Linked DNA regions of Bombyx mori. The protein of the gene in region 2 binds, or shares a complex with, the protein of the main gene of each other region. Links are inferred from orthologs where the notes say so. Each region holds a gene or a part of one and is shown on either strand. Other genes may lie near its edges.

Evidence for each region. Proteins that work in one complex are often made in the same cells at the same time.
Region 1: CXXC-type zinc finger protein 1 (region 2) and WD40 protein share a complex: the UniProt entries of both Drosophila melanogaster proteins name them as parts of the SET1 complex. The link is inferred for Bombyx mori from reciprocal best matches to the Drosophila melanogaster genes Cfp1 and Wdr82.

Annotation. Positions count from the first base shown.
Region 1 is NC_085110.1:8,526,281-8,534,130, reverse strand, and holds WD40 protein, read left to right. Parts: upstream 1-3,747; 5' UTR 3,748-3,811; coding exon 3,812-4,759; 3' UTR 4,760-5,826; downstream 5,827-7,850. UniProt on the Drosophila melanogaster protein: Component of the SET1 complex that specifically di- and trimethylates 'Lys-4' of histone H3.
Region 2 is NC_085131.1:9,124,773-9,132,386, forward strand, and holds the end of CXXC-type zinc finger protein 1, read left to right. Parts: intron 1-181; coding exon 182-308; intron 309-796; coding exon 797-901; intron 902-1,158; coding exon 1,159-1,345; intron 1,346-1,556; coding exon 1,557-1,754; intron 1,755-2,638; coding exon 2,639-2,845; intron 2,846-3,196; coding exon 3,197-3,444; intron 3,445-4,091; coding exon 4,092-4,197; 3' UTR 4,198-4,266; downstream 4,267-7,614. Other genes in the region: GSTz1 (glutathione S-transferase zeta 1), read left to right, coding at 5,089-5,097, 5,624-5,804, 6,787-6,905, 7,520-7,614. UniProt on the Drosophila melanogaster protein: Component of the SET1 complex that specifically di- and trimethylates 'Lys-4' of histone H3. Essential for Set1 association with chromatin and trimethylation of histone H3 at 'Lys-4' at transcription puffs.

The DNA.
Region 1 (7,850 bases), on a different chromosome or scaffold from region 2:
ACATATTATAATGAGTACTTACTAGTACTTATATGTAGTTTGAATAATTAATTTTTTCTTATAATTTTTTCAGTACTTACATTTCTTTGAAATGATAAATTGAAGAAAGAGTTGGTAAAGATAGCATAATTCAATATATTATGTGTATAATCTATGGTAAAGACTATTGTTTTAATCGGGACAGCTGTCACATAATAACCTTTATTTATTTATTTATGGCCAATGGTTACAAGATCATAAAGCCTATCTTAAATTAAATTTCACGCACGGAGCACGTAACATTTTACAAGTAGTTATAAAAAAATTGGTGCTTAATATTAATCGTTTGTTTCGTTTGTTTATTTTCTTTATCCCAATACTGCCAAAAAACTGCCAAAAGCTAAAATGAGTCCAATCCTGCCAAAATGGCAGGATCTTGCCACATATGGTCACACTAATCGAGACCATAGGTAGTAGTAGTTTTATTTTTGCAATTGGAAAGGCAAAGGTATCATACGATACAGCCTAATCTTTTATATATATTTTTTATACGTAAAATGATATTATGAAATGAAGTTGATTAATATGAAACATGGCATAAAATGCAATGAAATGAAAACGAAATTAAATGAGATGAGATGATTTGGGATGGAATATAATTTCAGTAAAGTGGTCGTCATTTACTGAGACTTTTTCAGTTGACTTTTTGGAGGATCTCGAGAAGTTACGTCCAGCGGCTTTGTTTCATTTTTCCACATTTGTGCACTTTCACACAGATATTGAACAGTTAATAAACCACCGTTATTACACATTTAAACCTGAAGAAACACTAAATAGACAAAATAAAACAAAACACACAACGTCACTTCTCGCGTTCCCGCCAAAAAGTCAGACCATAGATAATACACTTAATATAACGAGACCACGCAGAATTAGATCCATTAAACTAGAGCACCCTGCGGTTTAAAAACGCTAATTTGTTGTTTTGAAAGAATGATACAAGTTAGATTTTCTTAGGCAGATCTAGTAAATCGTAAATGGATTCCAGCGTTAAAAAAAACAGATGTAGTTGTAGATGTAGATGGTTGGCATTCATAAATATATATATATTTTTTTTATTTTTCATTTTATTTATTAAATATAGATTGATTTAAGAAACTAATTTAAATATTTTCAAATATTTACTGTAGTTGTTTCCGTCTATCTTTCAGCCCACAGATGTCCACTAATAGGAATAGGCCTTTTCCAAACCTCGTCACAGCGATCAGTTCTACGCTGCTTGCATCCAGGGATCTGAAGCTATTTTTACTAATTAATTGAAAAAGTTATTGTTTTTCAAAGTTGAAATTAGAAAAACGTTTTGAGCTTATCAGAGTGAAAAAGAGAGATCATATATTTCATTGCAATTTGCACACAATTAACTTTTAAAAAAAGCAGTCAACAAGTGGATGTATTTGCATAATAAGCGGTTTTATCGCTAAAAACGATTTCTTCCAGACAACAGATTTATTTACAGAAATTTTGAACAGATAAATATAGAACAGGTATGTTACGGTGTTCTATTAACAAATACATTACTATAGAAAATACATACATAAAGTAAATTGAAAAATATTTAAAGATTTATATACCAATATACTTACAAACTAGTACACATATTGAATCAACAACATGGAAATGATAAAGCATATACAAACAAATAACACTAAGCAGTAAAGCAGACAAGTAATGTTCCTTCATCATTCTTATAAAGCATTTTATTTCTCTGTCTATTCGCTGGTAGACTAAGAGGCTATTTCAGCTACGTCCGGATGGGTAGTTGAGCTCACAAGCTCAACTTGAGATAATTTGCTAGCATTAGCCTTAGCAAGAGCAGTGTTTTGCTGAATCTGCTACCGGAATGGAATTGCGACCCACTGAGAAGATCCGGCGTATCTGCCGGTTCGTTCGCTCGTGAGAGTGCCCGGTGCTTGTGGGTCCGAAAAGCAACAAAAGTGAATCCGGGGAATCCAACAAGACGTGTTTCGGGCGACGGCGGCTTTGCGTTGCCCCGTGCGTCGCGGTCTGTTAAGTAACTAGCGGCGGCCACGATAATAGGGTTTTCGTGTCACGCCGCTTTATCAAAATAGCGTTCTGATGCATCTTTAAGATACTTACGTATCGATAGGTACTAGATTTAGGTCGGCGTGAAAATTGCATTCCTCATATCACGGTGCTCCGTAGGCTATCCTGCAGAAACGGGATTGGATGACCTATAGAGAGCTAATGTGTGTACGGGCCGCGTGAGCGAACACTAGACTTGCATAGATCATGACAGAATGTATGGAAGCTAGTAGTAGTAGAGTGTCACCTTGTTATGAAGGGACAATTCACTTCGCTTGCAGATCATGGGGTCGAGACGACCGAGTACCTGGCTGAGTCTTTGCTCGCCCACCTGTCCTGGCGAAGCTGGAAAGGCCTCCGGGCCACCAGCAATCTTTCAAACATAAAAAAAAAAAAAAAACGACCGGGTAGGAACGCGGTTCGGTCGCGTACTGACTTAATGTGGGGTCCGAATGCCATCTCCCTGTCGAGAGTGACGCCTAATTCCGTAGCCTTCGAAGCTCACAGTATGGGCTAGCCAAAGATTTTTATGTCGGGAATTAAGTTACCGCGCCTAATTTTTTAACGAGATACTAGCAGTAGTATTGGGATTTTGAAGCGTTTAATATTTGGAGCACTTCCAACTGCAGCTGGCAGTGCATTCCACAATCGACTAATTCTCTGTTTGAATAAAGTTAATGATGACGTTATTTCAGTACAAGCAAAGGTCAAATATATTATATTAAAATTATGTAACGGTAAAAAACATTATTTTTCATTAAAAATAGTCAATGTCCGTTGCAGAAGCATATTATGTTTTCGATGGAAGATTAAAAATTAAATTTGGATAGGAATTATACAAAATCTGTCAGGAATTTAGTGACAACCCGTGAAAAAGAGAATAAGAGGGGTTGTGTTGTTTTGCGGATGAATTTCATGAACAATCTTCTGACAAATAAAAAGGATACAGGTTTTCGTATGTAAGTGATCGCTATACAACATTGTGATATACATTGAAATGTCTACCGAACGTTTCATGCGCGGTCGAAAATACTCAAAGATTCATAAATTTCCATTTAGAATTATGTTCTCACTTGTTCTTGAACGTGCTGTGGAACATTAAATTGAACACGAACAAATTTTTTTTCCCCAACCGTTAAAAGTATCTGAAAATCAGGATTCCTCTATTCTTGATTATGAATTATGATTATTTTTTTGGGCTAGTGGGCGTACTCCCACACGAAATCCCCGCGCCAAGGAGTTGCGAGGGTTATGGGACTGCTAGATGGGGTGGGCACCTACTAAGCGAGTCCCTTGCACACTGGCCCGAACGTCCGATACGCGTTCAAAACAGAACCCAAGAGAGGTAGAGGAAGAGTTTACCGTGGTCCACTGCAACCAAATCCGTAGCTCACCCAAAGAGGCATTAAATTTGCAAATAATATAATCTACACAATTTCACTCTTGGCGTTTCAGCCAAAAAGTAATTTCATCATTTTTATTGTGAGGTATCAATCGAGTTCTTTGCAGACTTTGGTTTCTGGCTAGAAAAGTGTCTCTGGTGCGTGTCATTATGCGTCATAGATTATACCATAGAGCTAAATAAAATTATACTTATATTATGTAGGTACATATGTGCATACCGCCTAATATTACTATAAAGCTACACTTCAATTATTGTACGAGGCTGTCTTTGTAATTTATTAAGTGTGAAAATTAAAGAACAAAAACATCGGTTATATGCATAAAAATGATGAAACTCGTTGATCAAGTTGTCCGAAGCTTTAAAGTTGCCAAAGTATTCCGTGAAAATACAGACAAAATTAACAGTATAGATTTTTCTCCTAATGGGGAGACATTGATTTCATGTAGCGAAGATGATCAAATCGTTATATACGATTGTGAAAAAGGAACACAAATGATTACGGTCAACAGTAAAAAATACGGGGTCGATTTGATACATTTTACACATGCCAAAAACACTGCAATTCACAGTTCCACCAAAGTAGACGACACAATACGGTATTTATCCCTTCACGATAACAAGTACATTAGATATTTCCCAGGGCATACAAAAAAAGTTGTGACAATGTGTTTATCCCCGGTTGAAGACACATTTTTATCTGGATCATTAGACAAAACATTACGACTGTGGGATCTTCGGTCGCCTAATTGTCAGGGACTAATGCATTTATCTGGAAGACCTGTTGCAGCTTATGACCCTGAAGGTCTCATATTTGCAGCTGGCGTTAATTCCGAGAGCATCAAGCTTTATGATTTGAGGTCTTTTGACAAGGGCCCCTTTGTCACATTTAAATTAAACCAAGAAAAGGAATGTGATTGGACAGGTTTGAAATTTTCCCGTGATGGCAAAACTATGTTAATAAGTACCAATGGGTCAATAATTCGTTTGGTGGATGCATATCATGGAACTCCACTTCAAACCTTCACTGGACACTTAAACAACAAAGGGATACCTATAGAAGCATCTTTTAGTCCTGATTCCCAGTACATCTTCAGTGGTTCAACAGATGGTCGTGTTCATGTCTGGAATGCTGATACTGGTTACAAAGTATGTGTCTTGAATGGTGATCATCCAGCACCTATACAATGCGTACAGTTCAATCCTAAGTTCATGATGCTGGCATCAGCATGTACAAATATGGCATTCTGGTTACCCACAATTGATGATGTTTAATTCTTTATATAGAAAAAGTAGACCAATACTTTGAATAATTCCTCCAAGTACCTAATCAATTTTAATGTATATTGTAATGTATTACTTTTTTGACCATTTATAAACCTAAGTTATGTAGTAAGTGTCATAAACAAAAAAATACTATTTGTTTTATTAAAAATGAGGTTTAATATTATGCTCTTACTCTTAGATTAGTAAATAGTTGTTTATGTGGATGCATACAATAAAAGTCACTTAGACACTATGACCTTTTTGTATTGAACCCAATAAACTATAATATCTAAAAGTATAAAAAGACAATATGTATTAAAACAGGACACAGGTTGTGTTTGGTACACAATTAAAATAGGGTTGTCCATGGATATAGATAAAATATGTAGTAAATCTATGAAGCATAATAATATAGGGAATGAAGATAAAATCTAGATACTGAAGAAAATTTACTGTGAAACTGGTCTTTGGTATGTCCATAAAGTAGAACCATACTCATTCAGTCTTTTGGCCTGTGTTACATTATATTGAATTTGGTATGTGGCGGCTTGTGGCTATGCTCATGGGTTTGTTGAAATTCATGAGTATTGATAACCATTTACCACTACGCCTTTGATGAAAATCAGTTCAGAAAATGAAACATCAATAAGAGCCAAGGCAAGAGTTATACTAAACCTTAGGGCAGACCAACAAACTGGAGAAGCAATTGGTCCAATAAAAAAAAAAGAGCAAGATCCCAACACACTTATTCTAATGTTGGAAGAAGGAAAAGGGAGATCAAGAAGAATCATAACTGAAGGAGTTGCGAAAGGTGAAAACAAAGGAAATTGTTAGAAAAGATCTCTATCAGGAGGCACTGAGTTCATCTAATATATAAACCTACTTCAGAAGATAATATCTATTATTTAAAATAGTCAATAAAAGACATCATCTCATTTTTCTATTAGAAAACCCTCAGATAAGTAGTTTATTACTATAGTGGCTAAGTCAATTGATAAACAATTTTGTGACTTTATTATTCCGTGTTTTTAAAATATAATACATAATTGTGCAACAGAAACTAATGGATAGGAAATAATTATTATTATGTCTATTCTGTGGCTATGATGAGTAAAATAAAATAATTAGTTTATAGTTTTCTTTTAATTCATATTTCTTCATTATCTTATTATTTAAGGTACACTAAGTTTTTTGCATAAACCATCAATAAAACAATCTATATATATTGAAAGCGTTCTCCATTGCATTATAAACCTTCACCAACCTATTTCAAAATATAATGTCCATGATTTCAGAGCATATTTTGCATATCCTCCATTGCAGCTTCACCTCTTTTAGCTCCATATTTAATTTTTGCCAAAAAAACCCACATAGTTCAAGTGTTTGACTATGATCGAAGTGGTTCAAATCTCCTCCTATTTAGAACCCAAGAATTTAATTAATTAATTTAATTTAAGTCTTATTCAAAGTTAACTTTCAATAATGAAAGGCAAATGCATTTTACTATATCACCAATATTAACTGAATTTTGTACTTCCAAGTGAATCCTGTAGGCAGGACTATTCCTACTCTCCATACTTGTTACTACATTGTTTTGCTGTTACCTTTTTGAATGTACCTAATTATATAAACCTTCCTTCTTCTGTAGCAGATTCAACTATTCATGTGGTAAATTGGTGGTGCATTCAGCATTTCACTGTGCTTTACATTTTTTTAAACAAACCAATTTAGATTTCGGGCGAGTTCGTGGATAATCCGGCGGCAACATTTTAACCTTTAGATATTTTTTTCAAATGTCGTCAAATCTCGTCCCGAATGATATACAGGACATATAAATAAGACGATATCTTCCTAAAATAATTTCCAGAGACGAACAGTGCAATTTAGTGAGTAAACTTAAAATCTCAATAAATCGACTTAATTTTTTTTGCGTTAATTTCAAGATTTGTTGTTATGCAAATACGGCAGAAGACGAATTTAAAGGGTACAAAAAACAATTATATCGATTAAAAGAAAAATAATCATAATTGATCATCTCCGAACCAAAGTTAAATTGAATTATTGCATTTATTGCATGTAAAATGTAAATCTTATCGAAATCTTGTTTTTTTTTAAGGGATTTTACGACCTGGTAACTAAGTCCTTTAGGACAATTCTTATTTCAATTTATATTCTTATTTTTATGAAAAATGATTGGTAGTGTGGAGTAAAATGAAATAAACAGAAGATAATTAATTTGAGTCATTAATCAACTGGGATGAAATTAAATGAAATGGGATGAGATGATATGAAATGAGATGAGATTATTTGGGGTGAAATATAATCTCAGTAAAATGGTGGTCATTTACAGAGATTTTTTCAGTGGACTTTTTGGAGGATCCCGAGAAGTTAGGTCCAGCAGCTTTGTTGCATTTTCCCACGTTTGTGCACTTCCACAGATCCCCGTCAAACAATCACGTCCCGCAAGCTCGCACGCACGTCTGCTCCGCATGTTCCAGGTATCATCAAGATTCACCCCCAACAAGGAAGAGGAAAGAAAAGGAATAAAACTGGCTCTCCAACCCACACGCCGGAACACAGCTAGGCTATTTGGCGGCGAACTCACTCAACTATGGAGGGCGGTCGCCAGCCAGTCGGACTAGTCCTACCACCGATTATGTTTTCGACTCCCGTTTAGCACCACCCAGGGGTCATTTATAGGGAATCGCGGGTTAAGCCTACGGAAGCGGGAAGCAATCGACCCCCAAAAATCGACTGAATTCAGAAGCAAATTTATAAGCAAGTTAGAAGCTTTCGATTACACTGTTCTAAATTCAGTTACTGAATCAATTGTTAGTTTAAGCGCGACGAAGTTGGGCGTGTCGTGTGTGTAAGAGGATGGCCCCACTATTGTCTAGACATTAAGTGTATAATCTATGGTCTAGACAACACAAAATTGGTCTTGGCGTAACCCTCGCTATCGGCTCAATTGAAACAAAAAAAAAGAAAAAGATTAATATGGTTAAAGAAATATTTATTGCTGCGCGGAAAGTTAGCAAATATGAAGATTATGAGTGATATAATTATAACCAGCAGACTTCAGAAATTATGGAATGGATTC
Region 2 (7,614 bases):
AATTTAAATCCTAGCATTGCATTACCTTAAAATAGATGTATGAAGTATGATTGATTTTTATCTCTCAATCAATTTGAACCGTGACTCACATATTGGTTGAATAAAACTAGAAACCGAAAGCCATTAAAAAATAAAAGTTAACATAAAACGTTTTTGTTATTGTACCGTGTTTCTTTTGTAGGTCGAGATGATCGAAAAAAGCAGCGGAAAGAAAAGGATCATTCGGAAAATAAATCTTCCAAGAGAACTATAATAAAAGATGGTTGTGGAGATTGCCCTGGTTGCTTACAAGATTACGATTGTGGCCAGTGAGTATACCTCATGCCCCATTTATCGGATTTTTACTGCAGTATCTACCAACAGCACTACAAAAAGATGCTATTGCTATCAATAGATCATAGACAGACATTCACTTTGTAATTTTTTAAATAGTAATTTTGAAGAAATGAATTAATGCAAAGTATGTATATATAGTGTATATATAGTGATTACTCATTTTTCTACATGAAAAAGTGCTTTAATCAATATAAATTTCTAACTTTTACAAATTGATATTAAAAGATATAAATATTGATCAAAAATTTGGATTTCTTTTGTTACACTTTAAGTTAACTGAATTGTACCCAAACATTGTTCATTTAAAGTAAATATTTAGATTTAATTCAAGAAAATTTACATATACAATAAACAGATACAATCTTTTGTTTCATTTCATAACAGTATTGTTTCCAAACATTTTCCCATTGTTCTTTTGTCGTACAGAAATGTATGATCACTATAATGGTTTTCATTGCAGTTGTGATGCATGTGAGGAGATGTTCAAATATGGAAGTGCTAATAAAAAGTTCAGGTGCAAATTGAGAGTTTGTGTTAAAAGTAAAAAATCTTCTAAACCACCCAGGTAAGCATTGCTAGATTTTAAAAATGTAATATTATTGATTCCGCATATAACTGTTAAAAGGGCTCTGCTTTGCTGTAACTAAGCTACAAACATAATATAACAACCTTATGTCATATTCTGTTGAAACAATACTCTTGCCATCTGACATACTTCAATGGAACTACTCAGAGCTTCTACTGATGTATGAGCAATAAGTAGAAATAAAAGTATTGGAGTTAACTGACGGATTTTGAAATTGTAAATGAAATTGACAACAGCAGTAGCAGAATAAAGAAGAAGCATCATGAACGTGAACCGTATGAGCCAGAAGAATCGTTGGCGCATCTACAGACGGCGCATGCGCGTCAGTGCTACGGACCGCAGTGCACGTTGCCCGCTCGGTACTCCTCGAAGTACTGCTCCTCACAGTGCGGGATAAGGCTCGCCACTTCCCGGATATACCAAGTTTGTTTTTTTTATTTTCATTTGTATTTCGCAGACATGTGAGAATTTTTTCCTTTTTTTTTCAAAACTTTCTATTCCTGGCTGGTTTGATTACTGCCTAATAGCTAAAGACGGTCGCTAGTATTGGAACAGCACCTAAATGACAAATCTATATTTCATAGTTATATGAGGAATGCCTGGTGTCAATTGATTCAATATAATGCTAATTCAGGTGCTCCCACAACGAATACAAGAATGGTCGTTGTCGAGCTGCGTTGCCGAACAGAAGAACCGCAAGGCACTAGAAGTGGTACGCAGCGGGATCGCTAAAGCGCAGGCCGCGCTGCGGAGTCTCGACAAACAGCACACAGATCTGGACGCACTGCTCGCCAAAGCTAAAAACGCTACAATTCTTCATACGGATGATAAGGTACAAAATTGTTATTTAAAATAGAAATTTAGTGGCTTTTCAATGGATTTTAGAAGAAAAAAAAGTGTTATTTGAGGACGTCAGCACAAAAGTGGCCTAAGCTTACCATAGTTAGTATGGAGATAATGAGGTTCGAATTTACCTTTACAATACTTCGTAGCCAAAAAAAAACGTGATAAAATAATGTTTACAAAGTCATCTGTTATCTATGGATTGAAACTAACTTTTGCATCAAAATTTATTATGTTTTAAATAAATCACAATACATAAGCATGAATATGAATTGTGGGTTAAGCCACTTTTGCGTTGACAGCCTCATTTTGAAGGTGTACTTTAAAACATAAATACTTAAATTGTCTTCGTCCTGATACTTTATTTTGTATATACATTTATATGTTTTTTTTTTTAAATCTTCCATCAATACTTTTCAAACGGATTTGTTCACTTATACTAATATGTTCAATATATTGTCATTTAATAATAACTAATACAATATTGGCTAATAATATTAACTTTGTGTGACCGAAATAACATTGAAAAGTATGAATATTTCTTTACCTGCAAGGGACTCATGTGTTCTGTTTTAATCACTTTTTAATATAATCTACAGTGACGTAATATCTCAAATTCAGTAGCAGTAAAAAAGTTGCAATTTGTAAAGTTTGCTATGCCACAATATCGTGAAGTCTGAAATTCTTTTGCTATTTATAACACCTAAAAAAAAAACCATTGGCCTTTTAAATCTTTTAACTATCCTTTCAATTATGATAATGTATTGAATATGAAAAACAATAAATTGAAATTTATGTTCATTGTAACTTTTTGGTAATTAAAATTAATTTTTGTTATCAAGAATTTTATTAATAAAATAATTTTCGCAACAGGACGCTGACGACGAAACCTCAATGTACTGCATAACGTGCGGCCACGAAATCCACTCGAGGACAGCCGTCAAACATATGGAGAAATGTTTTATAAAATACGAAGCGCAAGCGTCTTTCGGCAGTCGCCATAGGACGCGCATAGACGGACAAAGCATGTTCTGCGATTATTACAATCCTATCAATGCAACATATTGTAAGAGATTGAGGGTAAGTGTCGATGTTTAATGACCCAAGACTAAAAAAAGTACGCGTACCACGCTTTTTTACAATGTAATATTTTTTTCATACACTACCTATTTTTAATTCAAATTTATTAAAAAAATTTTCTATTTTTTAGTTGGATTTTCTATAAAAAACGTTTTTTTTTTGTTTTTTAAACAATTTTTTTTTCATTTTTTATTGTATTTCAATTTTTCCAGTTTTTTTTAAATATTGCATTGTCATCGGTCCTTAATAAATATGCCAAATTTCGAATTAATCTGACGTTTTGAAGGGCGTCAAAAGCACACATACGCCTGAAGCTAATAAAAGCGTATTAAAAATAAACAAATTCGTCAGGTGATGTGTCCAGAACATTTTAAAGATTCCAAAGTGAGCGACAGCGATGTCTGCGGGTGTCCGCTGGTCCGCAACGTGTTCGATCCGTCGGGCGAGTTCTGCCGGGCGCCCAAGAAGTCGTGCTTGCGTCACTACCAGTGGGAGAAGCTGCGTCGAGCCGAGATAGACATGGAGAGGGTCCGGCAATGGTTGAAACTCGATGAACTTGTGGAACAGGAGCGTAGTATTAGATTGGCTATGGCTTCAAGGTATGGAAACAATGTTACGGAAACACTTTTGTCTATTTTTTATTTTTATTTTTTTAATTAAGGTCAAAATGTTTTCTTTGTCGTCCATTTTCCTCAGCTATTTTTTTTAATACACTCACCAGATGTGAACCTAATGTAGTTTCTTTATGTAAAACAGTTCCTACGATTATGCGCAATACAGTAAAGTTTCAGAGAAGGTTTTTGGAACATACCATCCGGCTCAAGAATAAACATCCCTTCAATGCGCAAAAATTCAAGCGTTAAAAACCTCTACAGTATTGCTTATAGTAGTGGGCAGCCATTGTATTGTAAAATTGAGATTTCGAATTCATGTCTGAAGGTTGGTGGCGGTATTTATGTTGTTAATGTCTATGGCCCATTTACCTTTTGGTGGGCCGTGAGCTGGTACATTTATCTAAGCTATAAAAAAATTGGCTCCTTTACCTATTATAGTGAAAATCAAGTACATTTAACATGTCTTGCGTTTAACTTGTCTTGTGTGTGTTAATCTTAAATTCTAAATGTTACTTTACTCAAGCTGTTGACTGAGCATTCACGTCATGAGGCTTTTGGCCGTGAGGTAATTCGCCGAGCTGGACTTGTGTTCTGTATCAGATTTAAAAAAAAAGTACTGTTTCATTTTGTAGAGCGGGCGTACTCGGTCTAATGCTACATTCTACTTACAACCACGAAGTCATGGAGCGAATCACAAATAAGGTTAACGAAAACGGGCTACACAAAGAAGGATCCTGACAGTCTCCGGGCGAGGGACGCAGTTGATAGAAATTGTAAATTAAGATGTAAATAAAATCATTGCTTAAATGTTTTTGGTTTTTAATAATTATTATGGTGACCCTCATAGGTACCACCGTTCTGCCTGCCTGCCTATACCATGAAGCAGCCCTCCAGTTCGCATTCAATGGTCGGGCGTCATTCAATAAAATTGAACCTTTGCCTCAGGTTCATGAACAGCAACCACTTATGTCCAGTTGGGACGTGGACTCATTCATCTGGGGCAAAAAAAAAATTATAAGTGCAAGATATTTAGCCCCAAAAGATGGCCATTAGAATATCTTCAAACTATTTTTCCCTTACGTAATCGTTGATAGCCTAAGGGGCTATTCCAACTAGAGTAATACAGGTCTGTATTTGTCTGTAGTTTTTGCAATATTGTGGACAGCATAAAGCGGTTTTGGTAGGGTACAACTAGTTTTTACTATCTACTGTAGCTATTAATTTAGCTAGTATTGCTACTCTTCTCTTCTCAAAGAGAAAGAAACTGATCGAACAGTTCCAATATCACCTAAAACACACTAGTCAGTGAACTAGTTTATTATTTGGTCTTTAATTTGTGTACAATTGTTATATATTCAGTGGACCACAAACCCAAATAATTGCAAACATCAAACTTGGTATACCATGGTGGTACCGTATACTGCACAGATTAAACTTTAAAGTGCGTTGCCTGATCCGGTTATAATCTATGATTGTTGCTACAAAAAAGTCATTGGAGCTTCTTAGCGTTTGTTTATAATCTCATCTTTTATAAATATTCAAACTTAGCGATTCTTGTCTAAAAGGACAAACAAAACCGTCAAAATTACGTACTATAACAAATATAATGGTTCCGTTTCATCCTCTGCCATGGGCAAGGTAAGTCTTATAGGAGTTCATACGGAGCGTATAAATAAAAAATAAATAGGTAACAACATTAATTTATTTACATTTACATACTGGACTATCTTGACATTCAAATAAACTCGGCAAACTGGAATCACCAGGTTAAATATAGCGACTATCGTGCTCTCGGCTAAGTACTACCAGTCTATCTTATCTCCTCGAACTGTGTGATATAAAATGAGTGATCCTATTGTTGAAAACAAGGTAAAAAAAAAACATTTAATTAACACATAACATTTCACGTATTTACTGTACTTTCATGTTAGAAAAGATTTGTTAAATACAACCTGTTGTTATGTGTTAAATAGCCCTGAAATTAATTTAATATATTGAAATAAAAGGTGTTTCAAAATGTTTTTCACAAGTATTTACAATAAACATAACTATTATATTCTATAGACTATATATTCTTATCTGATGTTTTAATAGGACTTTCCAAACTATTACCAACCATTTAAATATATAACAAAAGTTCCAATTTGTTTTATTACTTTTTAAGCAGCCAGTATTATACTCATACTGGCGCAGCTCATGCTCCTGGCGAGTTCGCATAGCACTCAATCTTAAAGAAATACCATACGACATAAAGGCTGTCAGCCTGATTAAGGGAGGCGGAGAACAACACTGCAATGAGTATAGAGAAGTCAACCCTATGGAGCAAGTACCATCTTTATGCATTGGTCTGTAGTATAAATATTTTACTAAATTAATAAGTTTAATATTATTTTACAATAAATAGATTATGTTTGAATTCAATTAGATCCGTATAAGAGTGTCAGAAACTTTATACTGTGAACTAAAATTTATTATAAAATCATTTTTAATTTTAAACCAAGTATAAATAGGAAAATTCCAAAATCTGTCTAAAATTTTGGTAGAATCTTGATTATTATGCATATTAACAAACAAGTTTCTAAAATGTTGTCAAGAATGATATTACGTAAAGGATAAAAATAAAAATTTATGACTTCCTCTTATTCACTAACATTCATTTGATTGTGATAAATATTATTTTTTTGCTTAGTATCATTAAGACACTAAGGTGCAAGTGTAGTCATCAAAAATTGATGTATTTCATACATTATATTGATAGTCACAGCTGAACCTCAACAAATTTAAGTAATTTGAAGTCGTCATGGCCTAAAGGATGAGACGTCCAGTGCATTCACTTTGAGCGATGCACCGGTGTTCGAATCCCAGGCGGGTATAAATTTTTCTAATGAATTACGTGCTCAGCAAATGTTCACGATTGATTTGCACGGTGAAGGAATAACATTGTGTAATAAAAATGAAACCCGCAAAATTATAATTTGCGTAATGACTGGTAGTAGGACCTCTTGTTAGTCCGCACGGGTAGGTACCACTACCCTGCCTATTTCTGCCGTGAAGCAATTATGCGTTTCGGTTCGAAGGGTGGGGCAGCAGTTGTAACTATACTTGAGACCTTAGAACTTATATCTTAATGTGGGTGGTGCATTTACATTGTAGATGTGCTTCAGTAACCACTTAACACCAGGTGGGCTGAGAGCTCTTCTACCCAACTACGCAATAAAAATAATAAAAAATATTAATTTTAAAATATTAAACATTTTAAGTGAACCAAAACAATCAATACTTATTATAAAATTTTAGTGTCATTTTGCTTTGTGTTATGATTGACAGATGGGCACACTCTAATTGAATCATTAAACATCATGCATTATTTAGAGGAGACAAGACCACAGAGACCTCTTATGCCGCAAGATTGCTTTAAGAGGGCAAAAGTTCGTGAAATTTGTGAAGTAAGTACATATTTAAACTGGTGGTAGGACCTCTTGTGAGTCCGCGCGGGTAGGTACCAACCACCCTGCCTATTTCTGCCATGAAGCAGTAATGCGTTTCGTTTTGAAGGGTGGGGTAGCCGGTGTAACTATACTTGAGACCTTAGAATTTATATCTCAAGGTGGGTGGCGCATTTACGTTGTAGATGTCTATGGGCTCCAGAAACCACTAAACACCAGGTGAGCTTGTCCACCCATCTAAGCAATAAAAAAAAATTTTTTTTTATTTCCACATAAATGTCTCAGGTTAGTTAAAAAAATCATAAATTATTCAATTCTTGGTTATACTATACATTTTTACTTATAGTAAATAATGAATAAGTTTAACAAAAATACTATTTTGCCTTCATTAATTGTCTAAATTTTATGCCCTGGTTAAGTAAAAGATGTTTACCAGGACCAAACAGAACTCAAAACACTAGCACACTCTGAGTTATATTAAAACTAAACACTTGTTTTGTTACAATACTAAAAATATTTCAAATATGATTATTTATAAACTGTATAACTTTTTAAATAATGGAATTACTAGATAAATATTGCTTAAAATATAAAAAAATACTATCTTATTACAGATGATAGCCTCAGGAATACAGCCATTGCAGAATCTGATTGTGCTAATTTATGTTGGTGAGGAGAAAAAGAAGGAATGGTCCCAACACTGGATCAC